Oryza sativa Japonica Group: one gene and its partners. The protein of the gene in region 1 interacts with the protein of each later gene in a pairwise test. Links are inferred from orthologs where the notes say so. Each region holds a gene or a part of one and is shown in the gene's direction. Other genes may lie near its edges. The genes, in order: NINJA1, protein TIFY 9 and protein TIFY 10a.

Region 1 (6,065 bases):
AAGGGCGCATGCATCGAGGACGTTGCGACCGCAACGTGGAGTAGATGGAGTTGACCTCGAAGACGATGCGGCGGAGCCGCGTGTTCGCCTCTGCGGAGGAGAGGCGAAGCTCGGGGACACCTGAACACATCGGCTTTTGAGCCGCTCGATGGGGGCGAGTATGAGCTTGGGGGATAGGAGCTTGGCCATCGTGACGAGGTGGAAGCCCGGGATAGGAGCTTGGCCAGCGTGATGAGGCGGAAGCCCCAGCCCTCACGCGTGCCGATGAAGACGACATTGCAGTTGTAGTTGGGACCCGCGCCACACCCCGCACGTGCGCAAGTCCATGACGTGAGCGCTCCCGGTCATTGGGAACCATGTCAGCTGGCGGCCTCCGCCGTCGAGCTTTTCCCCACCGACCGACACCCTTCTCCCCACCCATTGGCGAATGCCCTGGAGGTTTGGGTTGAGATGGGAGTAGAGGGGAGTGAGGTGGAAGAAGATTGCTGGTTGGCTTGTGGGGTCCACGTGGGCCCTACACTGACTCAGCCACCACGTCAACAAAACTGAAGAGCAATACTAGCTTGTTGGGATTAAAAGTGATCCGTTTTGCAAGATTAGGGGTTCAGGGTCGTTTAGAACTCAACGACAAGATAAGGGACCTTAGATGAACTTTTTTGGGAGATGAAAAAACTCCAGCCTCATGGGCCTGTGCATATGACCCATACATAGGCAGGCGACACCGCGTGCACGCCCTCCGCCTCCCCAATCCGTCCCGTCTCCTCGCCCGCCGCCCTCGACTCCCGTCTCCTCGCCTGCCGCTGGCGCCGATCTCCATCCTGCTAGCAGAGGTGGCGCCGGCGTCCTCCTCCTGCTCCCGCCGCATTCGCTCACCGGTGAGCATCCTAATCCATCCCATCCGGCCTCGGCCTCGGCCTCGAATTTCGTCTCCTCACCCGCCGCTTGCGCCGATCCCCATCCTGCGAGCAGAGGTGGCGCCCGGCGTCCTCCTTCTAGCTTCCACCGCATCGTCGCTCGCCGGTGAGCATCCCTCCCTACCCACACCTCATCAGGTATTCTGCTTTATCCCTCAAAAAGTTTGGGGGTTCAACCGAAACAGGGTTAGATCTGCCTCTGCCCAGCTCCACCTACTTTCAAGTTGTTAATTTTGATTTCCGTTTTTAGCATATGTAATTTGGTTACTGAATCTCATCCAAACACCCTTATAGAACGAAAAATGTAAGCTCACATAATTTTTACTCATCCAAACTCACGTAAATTTCTTTAAGAAGAATCTAGACCACAAACTACCCATAGTCACACAAAATATCTTTTTATCAACTTATATTCTTATAAGTAATTTTTATTCCACAAAATTTCTAAAGGACATACGGTGACACTTGGCATTAATCTAATTTAACTTTTTTTTCTTTGTCAGGTTATAAATTTTCTAAGACATTTGTGCCACTTGGCATGAATCTAATTTAACATTCTTTCTTTATCAGGTTATAAATTGAAACCATTGAACGTACTCCCAACTTCCCAATTAGTTTTGCTAGTAAATATAAACAAACATTAGTTTTGTGCACACAATTCACGTGCTCCCAACTTCCCAAGTCCACATCACCCTTCACCCATTCCTCCACTTGAGCCAAAACACCACGTTATCCTAAAACCCCAACTGACAGATAAGCCCCACCCGACAGTCCATCCACGGGCCCACTCCATCCGCGCGGGCCCACTGTCCAGTGACACAGTGAACACAATCGTCATATTTGCACCGTTTGGGTAGGGTGGGGATGGGGTGTGTGCTAGCAATCCCGGTGGATCGAGTGGTAGGCGAAATTACAAAATTACCCTCGCTGTTTTGATGGCTCTGTCTCGTGGTCGTGCGTGAGTTATGCTTCTTGAGTTTGCCCTTGCCTACCCACCCGCCTCCGCCGATCCCCATTCCAACCCGCGACTGCGAGCGAGGCGAGTAGGGCGGCTTCGTCGTTCGTCCTGCTGCTTCCGCCGCATCCATCCTGGTGAGCACATCCTCTTCCGCCGCCGTCGCCTGCGGCCGATCCCCATCCATCACGCGCGAGCTCGTCCTGGTCCTGCTGCCGTCGCCTGCAGCCGATCCCCATCCATCACGCGCGAGCTCGTCCTGGTCCTGCTGCTTCCGCAGCATCCGTTACGCGCATCCTCTTTCCCATCTCTCCCTGTGTCTACCTACGAACTTATTTTTCTCGAATTTGTGCGTTAACCCTAGCTTCTGTTGTAGAAATCTGCCTTAAACCTTAATACTAGTAACAGTTTGATGGGAGCGTTAACCCTAGCTTCTGTTGTAGAAATCTGCCTTAAACCTTAATACTAGTAACAGTTTGATGGCTCCCAAAAAGGTTTCCCATGCTAGATCCGCCACTGTAGTATTACGACTATAAGTTTTTTTTGTTTTCACAGCAACTTAAAGAAATAAGCACTGCGCAACACAGTAGAATAGCCATAAAACAAGCCTTAGTGCCATGGTTTGGAGCATTTTGCTGCTGGCGTGAGAAGATGTTTCCATTCTGTTGGTTCAGCATTTTAGCTGGCGTTTAGCTAGATGTGCAACCTAAGGACGTCTGGTTTAGCAAGTTTAATGTCCAAGTTATTATTCTATAGTTAGAAATAAAGGTCTGTTGATTAAATTACAGTAGTTTAGCAAGTTTAATCACACCTTAATACTAGTAACAGTTTGATGGCTCCCAAAAAGGTTTCCCATGCTAGATCCGCCACTGTAGTATTACGACTATAAGTTTTTTTTTGTTTTCACAGCAACTTAAAGAAATAAGCACTGCGCAACACAGTAGAATAGCCATAAAACGAGCCTTAGTGCCATGGTTTGGAGCATTTTGCTGCTGGCGTGAGAAGATGTTTCCATTCTGTTGGTTCAGCATTTTAGCTGGCGTTTGGCTAGATGTGCAACCTAAGGATGTCTGGTTTAGCAAATTTAATGTCCAAGTTATTATTCTATAGTTAGAAATAAAGGTCTGTTGATTAAATTATAGTAGTTTAGCAAGTTTAATCACCAATTAGGGTTAGATTCAATCGACTGGTTTGGGGCAAAGTGTTTACTTTATTGTAGATCTTGTTGCTTAAATTACATCGGCCGGAGAGGTTCCGACTTAACATGCTGTAGCATCGATGTAGTGTATTCCAAGCCTCTCTCTCTCTCTAATTAACCCATCCACATTATCTAAAAAAAATTAACCCATCCAACTTTTTGGAGATTTCTTTAAAAAAAATTAACCCATCCAACTTTTTGGAGATTTCTTTGGTGGGTGGTCAGGCGGTAATAACAGTTTGTTTCCAAAAGTTTTGGAGATTCAGCGGATACACATGAAACATGTTTGCCATGCTTAGTCTCTTACCAAAGGCTTTTTTTTTCTTGCAGATATGACTTGTTGAGTGGAAAGAATCAATATAGTACAATCTATTTTCTTCTCAATGTGTAGAAGAAACAGTCTGTAACCATACATACTTATTAATACGACTAGTGAAATCTAGACATGGACGATGAGAATGGCCTTGAGCTTAGCTTGGGTCTCTCTTTGGGTGGGACATCAGGAAAGTCTAAGGCTAGAGATGCTCCTCTAGAACCTAAAGCAGAGCCTCAAGTGGAAGAGAGCAGTAGCAAAGGTGTTTCACAAACTCCTGAGGCTCCTTTTGTGCATTACTATCAAACAAATGCAGAGAACCAAGAACACAGTAGCAAGCAGAGACACAGCCCTGCTGCACCACCGTTTGGGAACTTTTGGGGACAGCCAGGGAGTTCTTCTGTTCCTGTGGCAGATGGATCCAATGAACAGAAGCCAGTCTCTAGTAAACGGAAATTACTTTCTGAGGAGATAAGTTTTCAGAAGAAACCTAATACAGCTGCTGAGCAACCTGATGCATTTAGTAAGAGCTCTGACGGTGGTGTAAAAAACGCTCCTATTTCAATTAGCACGGATGATGGTTCAACAGGTGAAAACGAGGATGTTGCAGAATCAGAAGCAGAAGGCTCAAACTCTTGGTTGGTTGCACAGCGTGAAGACAGTGCTAAGGGATCTGTTGTCAATAGAGGATCTGACAGAAAACGATCCAGTGATGATGCTGCAGTTGGTTTTCAAGGAAAGAGGCAGCCAAGTTTCTCAGGAAGTGAATCCAGCTCTGGAAAATTGCCACAAGGAAATCCTTTGTCATTGCAAGCATCAAATGTTGTTGCTGTGCCATATCAAGTCCCGTCTCAGGTTTCAGCTCCTCCCAGTATTACCAATGCATCAAATTTCACTCCAGTATGTACAGTGCAGTTGAGGCCACCTACAAACAATGGACTAGCTGTTACAATGGGCAGTACCTCTCAGGTAGCTTTTGGTTATCCAGCTGTCCAGCTACCAACACTTGAAACAAGCTCTTCATGGGCTTTTGGTGCTCCACCTCAGGCTATGTCCTCTTTTACTGCAAAAGACAAAGTTGAACGAGCAGGAATCAGTCAAGCTGACGATGGCAAGAAAACTCAAGGTTAGTTTACCTGTGAACAACGCCCACACTCTCAGAACAAAGAACAAAAAATGTACTGTTACCTGTTGTGGTTCATCTCTAAATAACAAATATATTTGAAGTCAACAAGAATTAAGATACTTGGTCTGGGTTTGATCACTACATTTTTAGCAAAAAAACTCTATGGTTATGTCGCAAATGTCGTTGGGTTTGGTATGATAGAAGTATACTTTGAGACATGCCACTGATCTCATTTAGTTTCAGAATATTTATGAGTAGTTGGAAGCTGCATTGCTGCTTGTATGCATACAAGAACTGCCTTTGTCTATGGTATTTTATGATCTGGTAACGTAAAATAAGTGGAGATTACTTCTTATGCGCTGCTGTTTTTATGCCTAAACAATCATATGTTTGAATTTGAAATTTTCAGTATTTACAATTTGCATACTGATTCATTTTTTCCCCCAACTTCAGAGGCTGGTGCTTCCTCTTCTGCTCTTGTGGAGGATGACAAGAAGTCTGATAGGGCATTACCTCTCATGGGTTCTGCTATAAGGCCAGGCATTGCACCAAATGTCAAATTCGGAGGATCTGGATCGTATCCTGACCTTCCCTGGGTTTCTACCACTGGTACTGGGCCAAATGGCAGAACCATATCAGGTGTAACATATAAGTTTGGCAGAAACGAGGTGAAGATAGTCTGTGCCTGCCATGGCACCCACATGACGCCGGAGGAATTTATGCGGCACGCAAGTGCAGATGCTCCGGGCCAAGAAAATAGTGCAACTTTGCCGGCATTTCCTGTCGGGAACCAAGCAGCCTCAGCCCAAAACTAATTCACCGATCTGTATGACGGTTTCAATGAGTGCTGGACTAATACCTGTTGCGCCCTTTGTGTTTATATCCTCCATTCCTTATACTATTATTATTATGTATTGGTGCTCATATGATATTTATCTTGTAAGTTTAGACACGTCATGTTTTATGCTTGATGTTGAGGATAAATTTGTTGTATGTCTTTAACTTATTATTATGCATCTTTTTAGGAGGATCAAACAAGTCGGAGCTTTAAATAACCTGAATTCCGCTGTAGCCATATGGAATCATGTGGATTTTTTGCCAATTGATGTTGTGGTGGAATAAAATGCGGCATGTCTTGAATTACATTTGTATATTTGTCATGAAAGATTAGTTCATGTGCTTACGTTTTAAGTAGTTTTTGTGAATATACTTTGCGATTAGCAACGCAAAGTAAGACCATGTTTAGTTCCCCAAAAGAATTTTTTTTATCACATCGGATGCTTGACCGGATGTCGGAAGGGTTTTTTTGGACATGAATGAAAAAACTAATTTCATAACTTGCTTGGAAACCGCGAGATGAATCTTTTGAGCCTAATTAATCCGTTATTAGCACATATTGGTTACTGTAGCACTTATGGTTAATTATAGACTAATTATGCTTAAAAGATTTATCTCGTGATTTTTCATGCAAACTGTGCAATTAGTTTTTGTTTTTATCTATATTTAATGTTCTATACATGTGTGCAAAGATTCAATGTGACGTTTTTGGAAAAAAAAAA
Region 2 (6,098 bases), on another chromosome or scaffold:
AAACACACAGTTTAGCAGTTTGAAAAGCGTGTCACAAGTATCCAAAATTTCATCAACTTCTATATCTGCATATGTGTGATGTCACCCTCGGTTGTCCACCCATGCATATGATGCTTGATTGTCGATTGCATGCACGCAAGGGAGCTACCATATCTGATCGCAGCATGTCCAGCGACAAGTTAGAGTTTATTTACTCAATCTAATCTTAATTTCTTAATCTAAATATAATCACCTTAATTTCTTATGCGGAAATAAATTGATTCATTGACCTTGATGTGAAGCCATTTAAGCCGATGATCTAATCCTTTTATTTTTCTTCTTCTTCTCTTTTCTTTTTCTTCTTGCGACATACATCACGAATCCTTTCCAGTGATAAAATTGATCGGGCGATTGAATTAGGGCTTTAGGGTAGAGAGGATTCGGTGAAGTCGCCTTTGCCTCTTCTCCTCTTCCTAGACATAAGGACATTAGTGGGGTCCGGGGGTTTATTTCCAAATAAATTTAAATCTATTTTGTACGATCACACATAACAGATTTTATCTCTACTTTATTTCTTGTTAGGAAAATAAAACCGATGGAATTTAATTCTTTTCCTAACTAACCAATAATGAATTGATAAAATCAACCAACATGGCCATCAGGACGAATCAATTGACCAAATCCTAATAGCCTTCCCTGAGTCGCTTCAGTTCTAGTGATTGATCCTCAACACTATTGGGCAACCTTATTTCCTGGTTACGACGAGTTTTTCAATAGTTTGGAGGTGTGGCCGTAGAAATTAAATCAACAAGCATCGACACCATTATTGTTTTGATAGCATGGTCGATTTGTAATTAAAGAACACAATAATATATAGGAGTCTTCAATCACTAATAATGCTTTTGTCCAAAGTGGTGACTGGTGAGCACGACAGTTTAAGCTGTTTGGGTGGGAGGGCCTTTCACAGAAATATAAGTCCCTCCATTAGTTTCTCTAAAAAGAACATAAGTTTCTCTAGAAGGACATGTATTCCTATCCCTCCATAGGGATTTATATTTCCGTAAGAGGACTAATAGAGCATAAGAGCTAGGCTGCACGGGGGTCCTCAGCTACCCGCGGCTAGCTAGCACACATAATGGTTGATAGTCGGTCGCAAATCAATACCACAAGACATAGGCCTTGTATCCCTTTTCGATTCTTTTCTTTATTATTGTAACTTGTTGTACAACTTATACATATATTCTCTAAAATATTTGTTGTTAAATGGCTAAATAACCGAATGATTTATGATAATTAAACTGAGTGGGCAAACAAACGAATAAATATATTATATTTTTTATCTATCTATACCTAATTAAAAAATCTATAAAGCTTCCGGTAATACTTTTTTGTCCGTCTTTTTTTCTCTTTTCTTGGCTGTTTTTTCTATCTTTTTTTTTCTTTTCTTGCTGTTTTTATTTTCTGATCCTTTTTTGTCCGTATTTTTCTCCTCTTTATTTTTTTCTAGTTTTTCCCGCAGCAGTTTTTCTGCCGCCGCCTCGATCTATCTTCTTGTACCTTTTGTCCTCTTATTGATTGTAAAAATAGATCCCTACTCATTTCTTATTATTTTAATTTCCTTATGATTTTCCCTTACAATTTGGCTTTAATTCACCGGATCTAATCTCCAGCCGCCGCCTGGGCTGAACCCTAACTGCGCCATCACATCGATCTACCTCCCCTTACGTTTTCTCCTTTAATTAATTGCAAAAATTGATTCCCCATCCTTCCCTCATAGTTTCCCCCATGATTTTCCCTTTCAATTCGGTTTTAATTAATTCGTTGGATTCAATCTTCGTTTAACTGTCACCAATAATGACCGACCGACGAGCTTCCCCATTCCATTTTTATCCAGAGTTTTACAGATTTGCTCTGTTTTTGGGAAACAGAAAGAGGAGATCGAGTGAATCAAAATCCCTTGGCCAGGGAGATCAAAAAAGAATCAGCTGGATTTTTATGGGAGGGCACACAAGGATTCTCTCCCGAAGGTTCAAGACGGTATACTGAATGACATTGCCAGCTGTGATAACTAAGTATTTGTGGACTGGACGAAAGAGAGGCAAGCCGAGCAGGAAGAGATAGGAGACATCAGACTGTGCTAGGGCTAAAAAGGAAAAAAAAGTAATGAGCTTTCGGCTCAAAACGAAGAAAAAATTTTGATTAACATGTTTTCAATTATAGTGTATAGCAATTATAATGTTTCAAGCTATTGCTCAGTTCATAATAGAGTTGTTATACCACTAAGAAAAATGTATTTACCTGTTGCAACGTATTGATATTTTTTTCAAGTTAATCATAAAAATACATTAGCGTTTGTAAGCTTTCTAAAAACGTGCGGGTTAATCCATCGTTTTCATTGGTTAGAAAAAACGAATGGGCGCGGGGCCTCTTTTTTTTATACCCCGCGCGCACCTCCCAACCCAACAAACACCACATTTTGCAGCTGCTTCTAATCTATACGTGTTCTAGCTAAGCTAGCTAGCTAGCTCTCGTTCTCCGGCCATGTCGACGAGGGCGCCCGTCGAGCTCGACTTCCTCGGCCTCCGCGCCGCCGCCGCCGACGCCGACGACCGCCACGCCAAGAGCGGCGGCTCCTCCGCCTCCTCTTCCTCCTCCATCCGAGGTACGTGACGTGACGTCTGTCGACGTCGCCGTCGATCGATGATCTCATCTCACCGCCGCCGGCTAGCTCCGTGTCCCTCTCGATCGATCTGAGTCGATTGCTTGCGTTGCGAGAGCAGGGATGGAGACGAGCGCGATAGCGAGGATAGGGCCCCACCTGCTGCGCCGCGTCATCGCCGCCGCCGGACCTCCGCCACCGCCGTCGACGGCGCCGGTGCCGGAGGAGATGCCCGGCGCCGCCGCCGCCGCCGCTCCGATGACGCTCTTCTACAACGGTTCAGTCGCCGTCTTCGACGTCTCCCACGATAAGGTGTGTAATATACATGAGTAAATTATATTGGTAGTATATAAACTTGTTAGCTGGATGCAACTTAGTGAATAAACTTGTAAAATGCTTATTTCGATGCATGAACTTGTCTAGTTCGTGCGAACGAGGACTAAAATAGCTTGGCAATGTTCGTTTTATAAAGCTGATGTTGATTAGGATGTGACGTGCATATGTGTAGTGAGTATATATAAGATATGCAATATTTATAAATTTCGTCTCTACTTTATTCTTCATCATGGAAGTGATGAATTTCATATATTTCTAACCCTTATATCATTGCTTTTTTTAATCTTTTTTCTACAATCACTATATCCATTCTATTTTTTACTAAAGAGGTGTATTTCTAATAGCAAATCTTCACGTATATATGTTTACATGGTATCCTAATGAGCCCCTAAATTAATAAGATTAACCAGGTAGTGTCCTTTTTCCTTCCTCCGCACGCACCAGACAAGTTTATGCACCAAAACGAGCATTTTACAAGTTCGTGCACTAGATTGCACTCACCTGACAAGTTCATGTACCGGCGATGCAATTTACTTAATATATATTTATCGTCTAAGTTAATTAATCACAAATTATTAGGAGATTATCCGCGATTAGTTAGTTGTTAACACAGTAATATTATATTAATACTGTCGTCGGAGATAGAACGGCCAGCGAACCGGGGCACCTGTTGAACACTTGTACCTTCACCTTCACAGAACGCGTGTGATTACAAAACTAACGAAACTCGGCGCGTTACTGCTGCGAGAATTATGTATAAAAATATTATAAATAATACCCCTTTTGTTTTTTATTATATGTGATATGCTGTTGACTTTTCATTGATCATTCATCTTATTAAAAAAATTTATGTAATTATCATTTATTTTATTCTGATTTGATATATCATCAAATATTCTTTAAACATGATTTAAATATTTTTTATATTTACATAAAAATTTTGAATAAAACGAATGGTCAAATATTTGTAAAAATTCAATGGCGTCATATATTAAAAAATATTAAAAAATGGAAGTAGTATGTAAGATAGCTGGATGATTATTTACTTTATATAATTTTCATCTTTGATTGATCAATAAAAAATTATAAACAATTAAGATGATATGGTTTATAACAATTTAAAACATTCAAAAAAAATGAAACTAAGGTGATGTGACTTAATAGCAAAACAAAATAAAGGGGGATAATATAGATTAATTACCCAAAGACAAAACTACGATGATATGACCTTTCCTAGGAGAAGAAAAGTCTGTCCATTAAAAATCATACAGCGTTAACATAGAATTAATTTACAATCAAAATCATGGTGTAGGATCGAACTGCACCAAGTCTAAATTAAAAGAGTTCTTGTTTTTCATGCATGATGGCTGGAAGGGATGCGCACAATGATATACTATCTCCCTTAAATTAGCTTGATAGTGGTAGATAGTACAATTTCATAGAGATACAATCTTCTCAATGCTTTCCCTTTCCATATTCCATCCCTAGGCAGAGGCTATAATGAGGATGGCAACCGAGGCAACTAAAGCAAAAGGACTCGCTCGTGGCAATGCAATTGTAGGCAATTTTGCCAAAGGTTTGTTAATGTTAGTAGAATTGTTGCGAAAAGTAATCAGCAGAACAACAAAAATATGTTCTTTTTTAATCTGTTTTTTTTCCTGTGGCTTATAGTATTGTTCTTCAACTCTTCTTGTTTGCAGAGCCACTCACAAGAACTAAATCTCTGCAACGATTCCTCTCCAAGAGAAAAGAGAGGTATAGACAATGCAATTTTCATATATTTTGTTTGTCACCTAAATACACATTTTTTCCTACTCCCTGCGTTTCAAATTAATTATTATTCTAGTTTTATCATAAGTTAAGCATTTGTATTTTTTACCACCAATTTCCAGAAGTTTATATAATTTAACATCATAAGATTTATGTTTTGTATTCACTATGAGAAAACTTTCACAATATATAATCACATGTTTTTGCATTATTCAAATTTTTAGATATCAACGAACAAAATAGAAATATTTGACTTAGGACAAAATGAATGTGAAGTAATTAATTTGAAAAGAAAAGGAGTATGTATAAGTACATAGAAATAATGATTTGATCAAACCTTTTCAAAAAGAACTCAATTACACTTAAATAAAAGAGTATTAACATTTTCATTATTTCTCTCTCTAATTGGAATCTTCAGTGTGAGACTAGCTATCTACCTATAGTTGTATACTGTGGAAGCTCATGGTAGCTAAAGCTACCACATGGTGAGCTGACCGGAGACCCCAGAAGCCGTGTGGGCCCGGATGAGCAGTGCCCATCGACCTCTTACAACCACGTTTTAGTCGTGACGAATTAGTGCATGGAAAGTCTATGGGCTATGGATCATATCGACATGTGTGTGGAGGATAGCAAGTTTGCATATGCAATATCTCGATCGATTTGGTGATGATATATATATCGCAATGAAATCGATATATGGGGGCTGTACTACTTCATTGACCAACTAGCTACCGAATCAAATTAAGACTTATCGCAGCTAAAGAAGCAATAAACTAACTGAAAGCAAAGATATGTCTTTGACCACACCACACGCACATATCATTAAGGCTTTGATTTGATTGTGCTTTAAAAGATCGGTTTGGTTCTGGTTGTGTGTTGGCTAAGGTGGTGTTTGGATACAGGACTTAACTTTAGTCTCTATATCTAGACACTAATTTAAAGTATTAAATATAGACTACTTATAAAACTAATTACATAAATGAAAGCTAATTTGCGAGACAAGTTTTTTAAGCCTAATTAATCCATAATTAGAAAATATTTACGGTAGCATCACATAGACTAATCATGGATTAATTAGGCTCAATAGATTCGTCTCGTGAATTAGTCCAAGATTATAGATGGGTTTTATTAATAGTCTACATTTAATATTTATAATTAGTGTCCAAATATCCGATGTAATAGGAACTTAAAAGTTTTAGTCCCATCTAAACATGGTCTAATTCGTTTGTCCCAGACTTGAAAAATGTGGCACTGATTTCTCTTCCTTTCAAATATATATATATATATATATATATATATATATATATATATATATATATATATATATATATATATATATATATATATATATATA
Region 3 (6,145 bases), on another chromosome or scaffold:
AAGTGGTGATGGCGAGTTCACAGTGATGAGGATGGCTAGCTTGAAGCACCAATGAGGACTGGGAGATCGAAGTGGAGATTTGGATGGCGAGCTTGAAGCACCGAAGCCAAAGAAGGTGGGAGCCTCCTTGACTGGCGCTCGTCGATCCCGGAGCTCGGTGGTAGAGAAAGAAGGGGTGCCCTTGACTGCCGACGTAGCCTCGTTGACTTGTCCAAAGTGGTGGAAGGAGAAGGGATTAGGAGCAGCAGCTTCCACCACCAATGAAAACATCAGCTTGCCGCCTCGATTTGTGTTATCACTGAGGAGAGGGAGGACATGGGAGGAAAGGGCAACGAGAAGGGAGCAACGATGAGGAGGGAGGGAATGTGGTAGATAGGAGAGGATGACGAGCTTAGAGAGAGGAAAAAAGAGTATGAGAGTGGTTGACAACGTGGTCCATAGGAAGCCAAGGATACATATATATTTTTTATGTTGTCATAGGTCAGAAATATAAATTTTTTTAATATATTTGATAATAAGAAATATTCTTAGGGACTTAAACATAAAAACATCTGAGTTGGCCTGAGTCCACATGGGACGTTGAGGATACTAATGTAAATAGCTTTGCGTCGTGTATGTCTCTATAAGACGGTGATGTATACAAATCATATGCTCTCTCTAGAGTAGCAAACAAGTACTACTTATATACCATTTCTTCCGTGTTAAAATATAGTTATATAATAATATAGATTTTGATAAAGTTTTGTCCAGATTCATAGTATTATGCAATAATATAGCCCTTTGGATCTATTTAAATTCGTAATATAAGGATATGATGTGTCTAAGGGTGTCTTTGGTTTCTAGCTATACTTTGCCGCCATTTGTCAACACATATTACCACACTTGCCTAAGTTGAGACGATCAAATTCTTGGCCACACCTTAGCAGGCCTAAGGGAATCTTGCCACACTTTTTTGAGTCAAAGACGTGTGGAGTCCAATTTGTTGGAAAAGAATCTTGACACAATTGTGCCTACAACCAAACAATTGCCAATATGGTCCAGCCCGGCTAACATTGGGCGTAACAAACTATGGCAAAGTGTTGCTGGTAACCAAACACCCCCCTCCCCCTCCCTAAATTGTACTCCCTCCATCCTAATATAAGTGCAATCTAGTATATGACATATTCTAATAATACGAATTTAGACAGCCCTTTCGTCCTAATATGAGTGCAACCTAGTACAAATATGACATATATTAGGATTACGAATCTGTGCAGACAATTGTTCAGATTCGTAGTATTAGGATATACCATATATGTACTAGGTTGCACTTATATTGGGTCGGAGAGAGTAAGTGCTAGTATTCCATTCATTTCATAATATAAGGCACAACTATTTTTTAGATGTTTCATAATATAAGGCATGCATGAATGCATGCCATTAACTAGCACATCTTTCGCACTATGATTTTTTTTTAAATCCTCCATCCTCAAAATCTTTAATCCTAGAGAGAATCTATTCTATACAATTGAGTTTGTTCGAGTTCAACGATTTACCATCGACATTGTCGATTTATATTATATACCAACGACTTTATCAATCGTTCATCAATACGCCATTGGGATATGTCTTCTTTTCAAAAGTACCCAAATTCCTCTTATGGACATATAAGATTAACAATTGATTTATCTCATTAGGAGTTTAAAAAATATAAAAAATTTTATGTGACCTCCTTGCATAACATGGAAATTTGTATAGAAGTTTCGAGTTTTTATATTTCTATTTTTTAAAAAATATAACTTATCTATTATATGCTATATAAAATACTTTTTATTGTTGTTTTAATATAAATCATCTTTCATACAATGCATAAGATATTTTTATGATATTATCTCTTGCGTAAGCAAATTCTCTATCATATACCACATAAAAATATTTTTTCTAAAATCTAAATATACCATAAAAAAATTTCAAACTTGTATACAAACTTCCATATTGTGTAAGGAGGCCACTACAAAGTTTTCATATTTTTTTAAAACTTTAGATGAGATAAATCAATTGTTAATCTTGTATGTTCGTAAGGGTATTTTGGATATATTTGAAAAGAAGGCCCAACCCAATGACATATTGTAGAAGAATTGATAAAGTTACTGGTATATTATAAAAAGAGATAATGTCGATGGCAAATCGTTGAACTCGAACAAACTTAATGGTATAGAATATATTCTCTTTTAATTCTATTGGTGCATACATTATAGTTATTTGGATGATCTAAACTATGAGATGATAATAGAGTCTTATATTCTTATATTTTAGAATGGAGACAGTATCTTGAGATGAGGAAGGAAGTACTACTCCATCCAAAAGAACGAATTCATAGCTACGAACCTGAACACATATATATATCCAGATTGGTAGGTAGGATTGGTTTTTTCTGGTACGGAAGGTTATGCATTTTAGGACGAAGGGCCCCACTCCTTTGTCGGCCACGTTGCATCCAATCAAACCTAACGTCACGGCATACCACACCGGCACACAGTAAACACAAACCAGGAAAAAGATAACGAGAGAATAGGAATCTGCGCACCTTGCCAATCTCCACAACAATCACGTGCTCAAACAAAGGCACCAACACCCAAACTAACTTTTTTTTTTCCCTCGCAACTTGCGATTACAAAAATCGAAACTTTTTCGTCTTAAAGATAATCCCCACCATTATTGTTATTGTTAGTCTCGTGCGTCCCTTATATAGAACCTGAACCGCCGGACGGAGGAGGAAGACAACTCAGAGACAGACAAGGACGAGCAACCCGCAACCGCGACCAGAGGAGAAGACTCGATCGAATCGAATCGAAGCGGGAGGATTTCGGGGGTCCGTGACTCCGTTCGGAGAAAAGGATTCAGCTTGTGGGCAGAAGAAGAAGAAGAAGATGGCTTCCGCGAAATCCGGGGAGAGGGGGAGCAGCAGCTTCGCCATGGCCTGCAGCCTGCTCAGCCGCTACGTCAGGCAGAACGGCGCAGCCGCCGGCGAGCTCGGCCTCGGCATCAGAGGTCACCTCCCTTTCTTTTTCTTTTTTTCCTTCTGCAAAGTCTGGATCTTTATCTTTACGGGTTTTGGGTGAAAAAAACCTCCCCTAGGAAGGTTTCCGTGAGATCTGGTCTAGTTCTTCGAGCTTTGGAAGCGAGAATTCCCCCATGTAGAATTTTATTCGGCTTAAACCAGTCTCAACCATTCCAATTCTGCGCATCTAGCTAGCTGTAAAATTCGCAACATTTTTTTTAAATCTGATGTTGTGAATCTGGGCTGAAAAACTATGTCATATCATTTTTCAGGTGAAGCCGATGCGAACAAGGGGAAGGAGACCATGGAGCTGTTCCCCCAGAATTCCGGGTTCGGCTCTGAAGCTGCTGCCGTGAAGGAGACCCCGGATGCGAGGTACTCAACACAATCTTTGTTCGAATTGCTTCAGCTATCAGTTCATACGGTTCCTTTAGCTGTAGTCACATGATAGGAGAAACCAATAGCAACAATCCAACCAAACAAAGTAGTGGTTGGTAGGTAGTGTGGAGGAGGAGGAGAACATCTTGCCTTGTCCTGACCAGATCTTAGTGCTGCCAGGAGCTGAGCTGGTCAGCTCTCGGGTCATGGTCTGAAATCTAATTCGTGTGTAAAATGGATATAATTTAGTTTAGAGTTCTAGGGATGGATTTCGGTGTGATGGAAAGGTTCGATATTTAATCCAATATAGAACTGGTGCTATGCAAGTCTGCAGTTCCTTCTTCTGTTTTTTGTGCGAGTCGTTTTTTGTGCGAGTCAACGATGTATGTCTCGCAACTAATAACCACGGGTTTCAGACTTAGTGGGCTCGCACGATCCGAAAGTGAAAATGTTCTGACTCGAGTGATTCATGAACAAAAAACCCAAATATTAGTTGGTACTTACTACAAGTTATTCTTCTGAACATATGCGTAGATGGCGGGTGCTTGCTGACCGATATCAGTTAGTAAATAGTTTCTGTTGTGTAAGCTTTAAAATTGGTTAAATGGTTGTGTTTGTCTAAGCTTTCTTGTATTTCCGTTGTCAGGGAGCAAGAGAAGCGCCAATTAACCATCTTCTACGGTGGGAAGGTCCTGGTGTTTGATGACTTCCCAGCTGAGAAGGCCAAGGACCTGATGCAGATGGCCAGCAAGAGTTCCTCCACAGCGCAGAACTGTGTCCTTCTTCCATCTTCCGCTACTGCAACCGTTGCCGACAACACTAAGGTGTCTGCTGTACCAGCCCCAGCAAGTGCACTTCCTGTTGCTCAGGCCAATGCCCCGAAACCTGTTCGTCCAAATGCTGCTGGTAACTACTCTAACCTCGGCTGTTATTGCTTGCTCTGAATGATGGAATATACTTGTAGCATGTGAATCCATTTTATTGTACTAACTGTTCTTCAAATCCTGCAGATCTGCCTCAGGCTAGGAAGGCGTCGCTTCACCGGTTCCTCGAGAAAAGAAAGGATCGGTAGGTTATGCTTGCTATCATGGCAGCACAAAGTATAGTCAAATTCTACAATTCACAATTCTAGATTTTGGATCTAACTTTTGCTGCTCCTTTATTTCAGCCTTCAGGCTAAAGCACCCTACCAGGGTTCCCCTTCAGATGCTTCTCCGGTCAAGAAGGAGCTGCAGGAGAGTCAGCCATGGCTTGGGTTAGGACCTCAGGTTGCCGCTCCCGACCTGAGCTTGCGGCAGGAATCGAGCCAATGAATCAATGCTCAATTCTGAGATGCCCCTCTCATCAGATGATTCAGTCATAGAGGTTATCACAACTCTTGAATTGGGTGTTTTGTGTTAGGAGATGATCCGATGACAAGGCGATGTTCTTCTGATATATATACTAGGATTGAATGTAAAGAAAGTAGCTGATGATTATGACCAGTAATCTGAATCAAATTGCTATGATAGAAAGCAGAAGATTCTGTAATCAGTACAACCCAAGAAACCTCATTTGTACCAATTCAATATCGTTTTGCTTTGGCATTGCCATGTAGAAGCAAAGCAAATGTACTGCTAATATATACACATCACAAGATTGATTGTTATTCACTTACGCCTGTTTCCCCCCCCCCCCCCCATTAACAGGATGCATCTCCTTTTGCTGTTTCCAACATGCATTCTTGTATGAATTTTGAAGCTCTATTCAGAAACTAGAATGTTATTTGGACATGCTGAGTAGTACTAGTGTACCATGATTTGCAAGCCTTTGCTTGGCCTCAGAGGTTAGAAGACAGACAGCTCAGAGAGAGAGAGAGAGAGAGAGAGAGAGAGAATTGTGGCTCTTGGCTCTTGCACGACCTGAAAACTTGATGGAGACGAGGCACGCACACACACACACTTGTGCATACTCCGTCCAACACAGGAAGAAAACGTGTTTTGACTCAGAGGCAGCATCTGCCACTTGCACAAATGAATAGAGAAAAAAAAAAGATAAAGATAAAGATAAAAGAAAAGGAGAAGAAAGTGATGTATAACGCGGCAACGGCAGGGCGTCCGGGGAACACGCAAAAATGCGCACGTCGCTCTCCGGCTACATTCAGCAGCAGCCCATGGTCGGAATTTTTTAAAAATTATTTTTTTGGGATGAAATGACTCTCCATTTTTTTTTCTCCAAGGGAAAAGAGAAAAAAAAATAAAATCATTTTGGTGACATTGAAGAAAAACTGCATGTTCTGCGCATTTTAAAACCGGGACCAAACCGGGTTCTGCCGGACAAACAGTGGACGATCCACGTACATTAGAGTAAAGCTCACGTTCGGAAATGAAGAATAGTAGTATTTTAACATGGCTCTTGCCTGAGACTACGGTTGCCTGAGACTACGGGTGTGTTTAGTTAACGCCAAAATTAAAAAGTTTGGTTGAAATTGGAACGATCTGACGGAAAAGTTAAAAGTTTGTATGTGTAGGAAAGTCTTGATGTGATGAAAAAGTTGAAAGTTTGAAGAAAAATTTTGAAACTAAAATCGGTCTACAGATGCATGGTGGCCGGCAGGAAAGCAGTTTGTCATCCAATATAATGCGAGCCCATTTGCTCGTGCCCACTTCCAGCAACTTTATTCATTTCGCGTAACGTGCATGACCACTCTGCCAATTGCCATGCCAGCCTATGATAATTCATGGGTCA

What was found.
Region 2: the proteins of NINJA1 (region 1) and protein TIFY 9 interact in binary tests that used the Arabidopsis thaliana proteins (3 or more experiments, as listed by UniProt). The link is inferred for Oryza sativa Japonica Group from reciprocal best matches to the Arabidopsis thaliana genes NINJA and JAZ10.
Region 3: the proteins of NINJA1 (region 1) and protein TIFY 10a interact in binary tests that used the Arabidopsis thaliana proteins (3 or more experiments, as listed by UniProt). The link is inferred for Oryza sativa Japonica Group from reciprocal best matches to the Arabidopsis thaliana genes NINJA and TIFY10B.

Annotation. Positions count from the first base shown.
Region 1 is NC_089039.1:27,977,313-27,983,377, forward strand, and holds NINJA1 (protein NINJA homolog 1), read left to right. Parts: upstream 1-1,879; 5' UTR 1,880-2,006; exon of another isoform or gene 2,007-2,154; intron 2,155-3,397; 5' UTR 3,398-3,512; coding exon 3,513-4,506; intron 4,507-4,959; coding exon 4,960-5,321; 3' UTR 5,322-5,646; downstream 5,647-6,065. UniProt on the Arabidopsis thaliana protein: Acts as a transcriptional repressor. Negative regulator of jasmonate responses. Connects the JAZ proteins and the non-JAZ protein TIFY8 with the TOPLESS corepressors.
Region 2 is NC_089038.1:19,857,760-19,863,857, forward strand, and holds the start of protein TIFY 9, read left to right. Parts: upstream 1-2,474; 5' UTR 2,475-2,520; coding exon 2,521-2,641; intron 2,642-2,759; coding exon 2,760-2,950; intron 2,951-4,462; coding exon 4,463-4,550; intron 4,551-4,674; coding exon 4,675-4,729; intron 4,730-6,098. UniProt on the Arabidopsis thaliana protein: Repressor of jasmonate (JA) responses. Interacts with and suppresses RHD6 and RSL1 transcription factor activities to negatively regulate jasmonate-stimulated root hair development.
Region 3 is NC_089037.1:16,852,857-16,859,001, reverse strand, and holds protein TIFY 10a, read left to right. Parts: upstream 1-2,683; 5' UTR 2,684-2,909; coding exon 2,910-3,030; intron 3,031-3,312; coding exon 3,313-3,415; intron 3,416-4,064; coding exon 4,065-4,324; intron 4,325-4,428; coding exon 4,429-4,486; intron 4,487-4,586; coding exon 4,587-4,731; 3' UTR 4,732-5,094; downstream 5,095-6,145. UniProt on the Arabidopsis thaliana protein: Repressor of jasmonate responses. Jasmonoyl-isoleucine (JA-Ile) specifically promotes COI1-TIFY10B/JAZ2 interaction. Activated by MYC2, MYC3 and MYC4 transcription factors.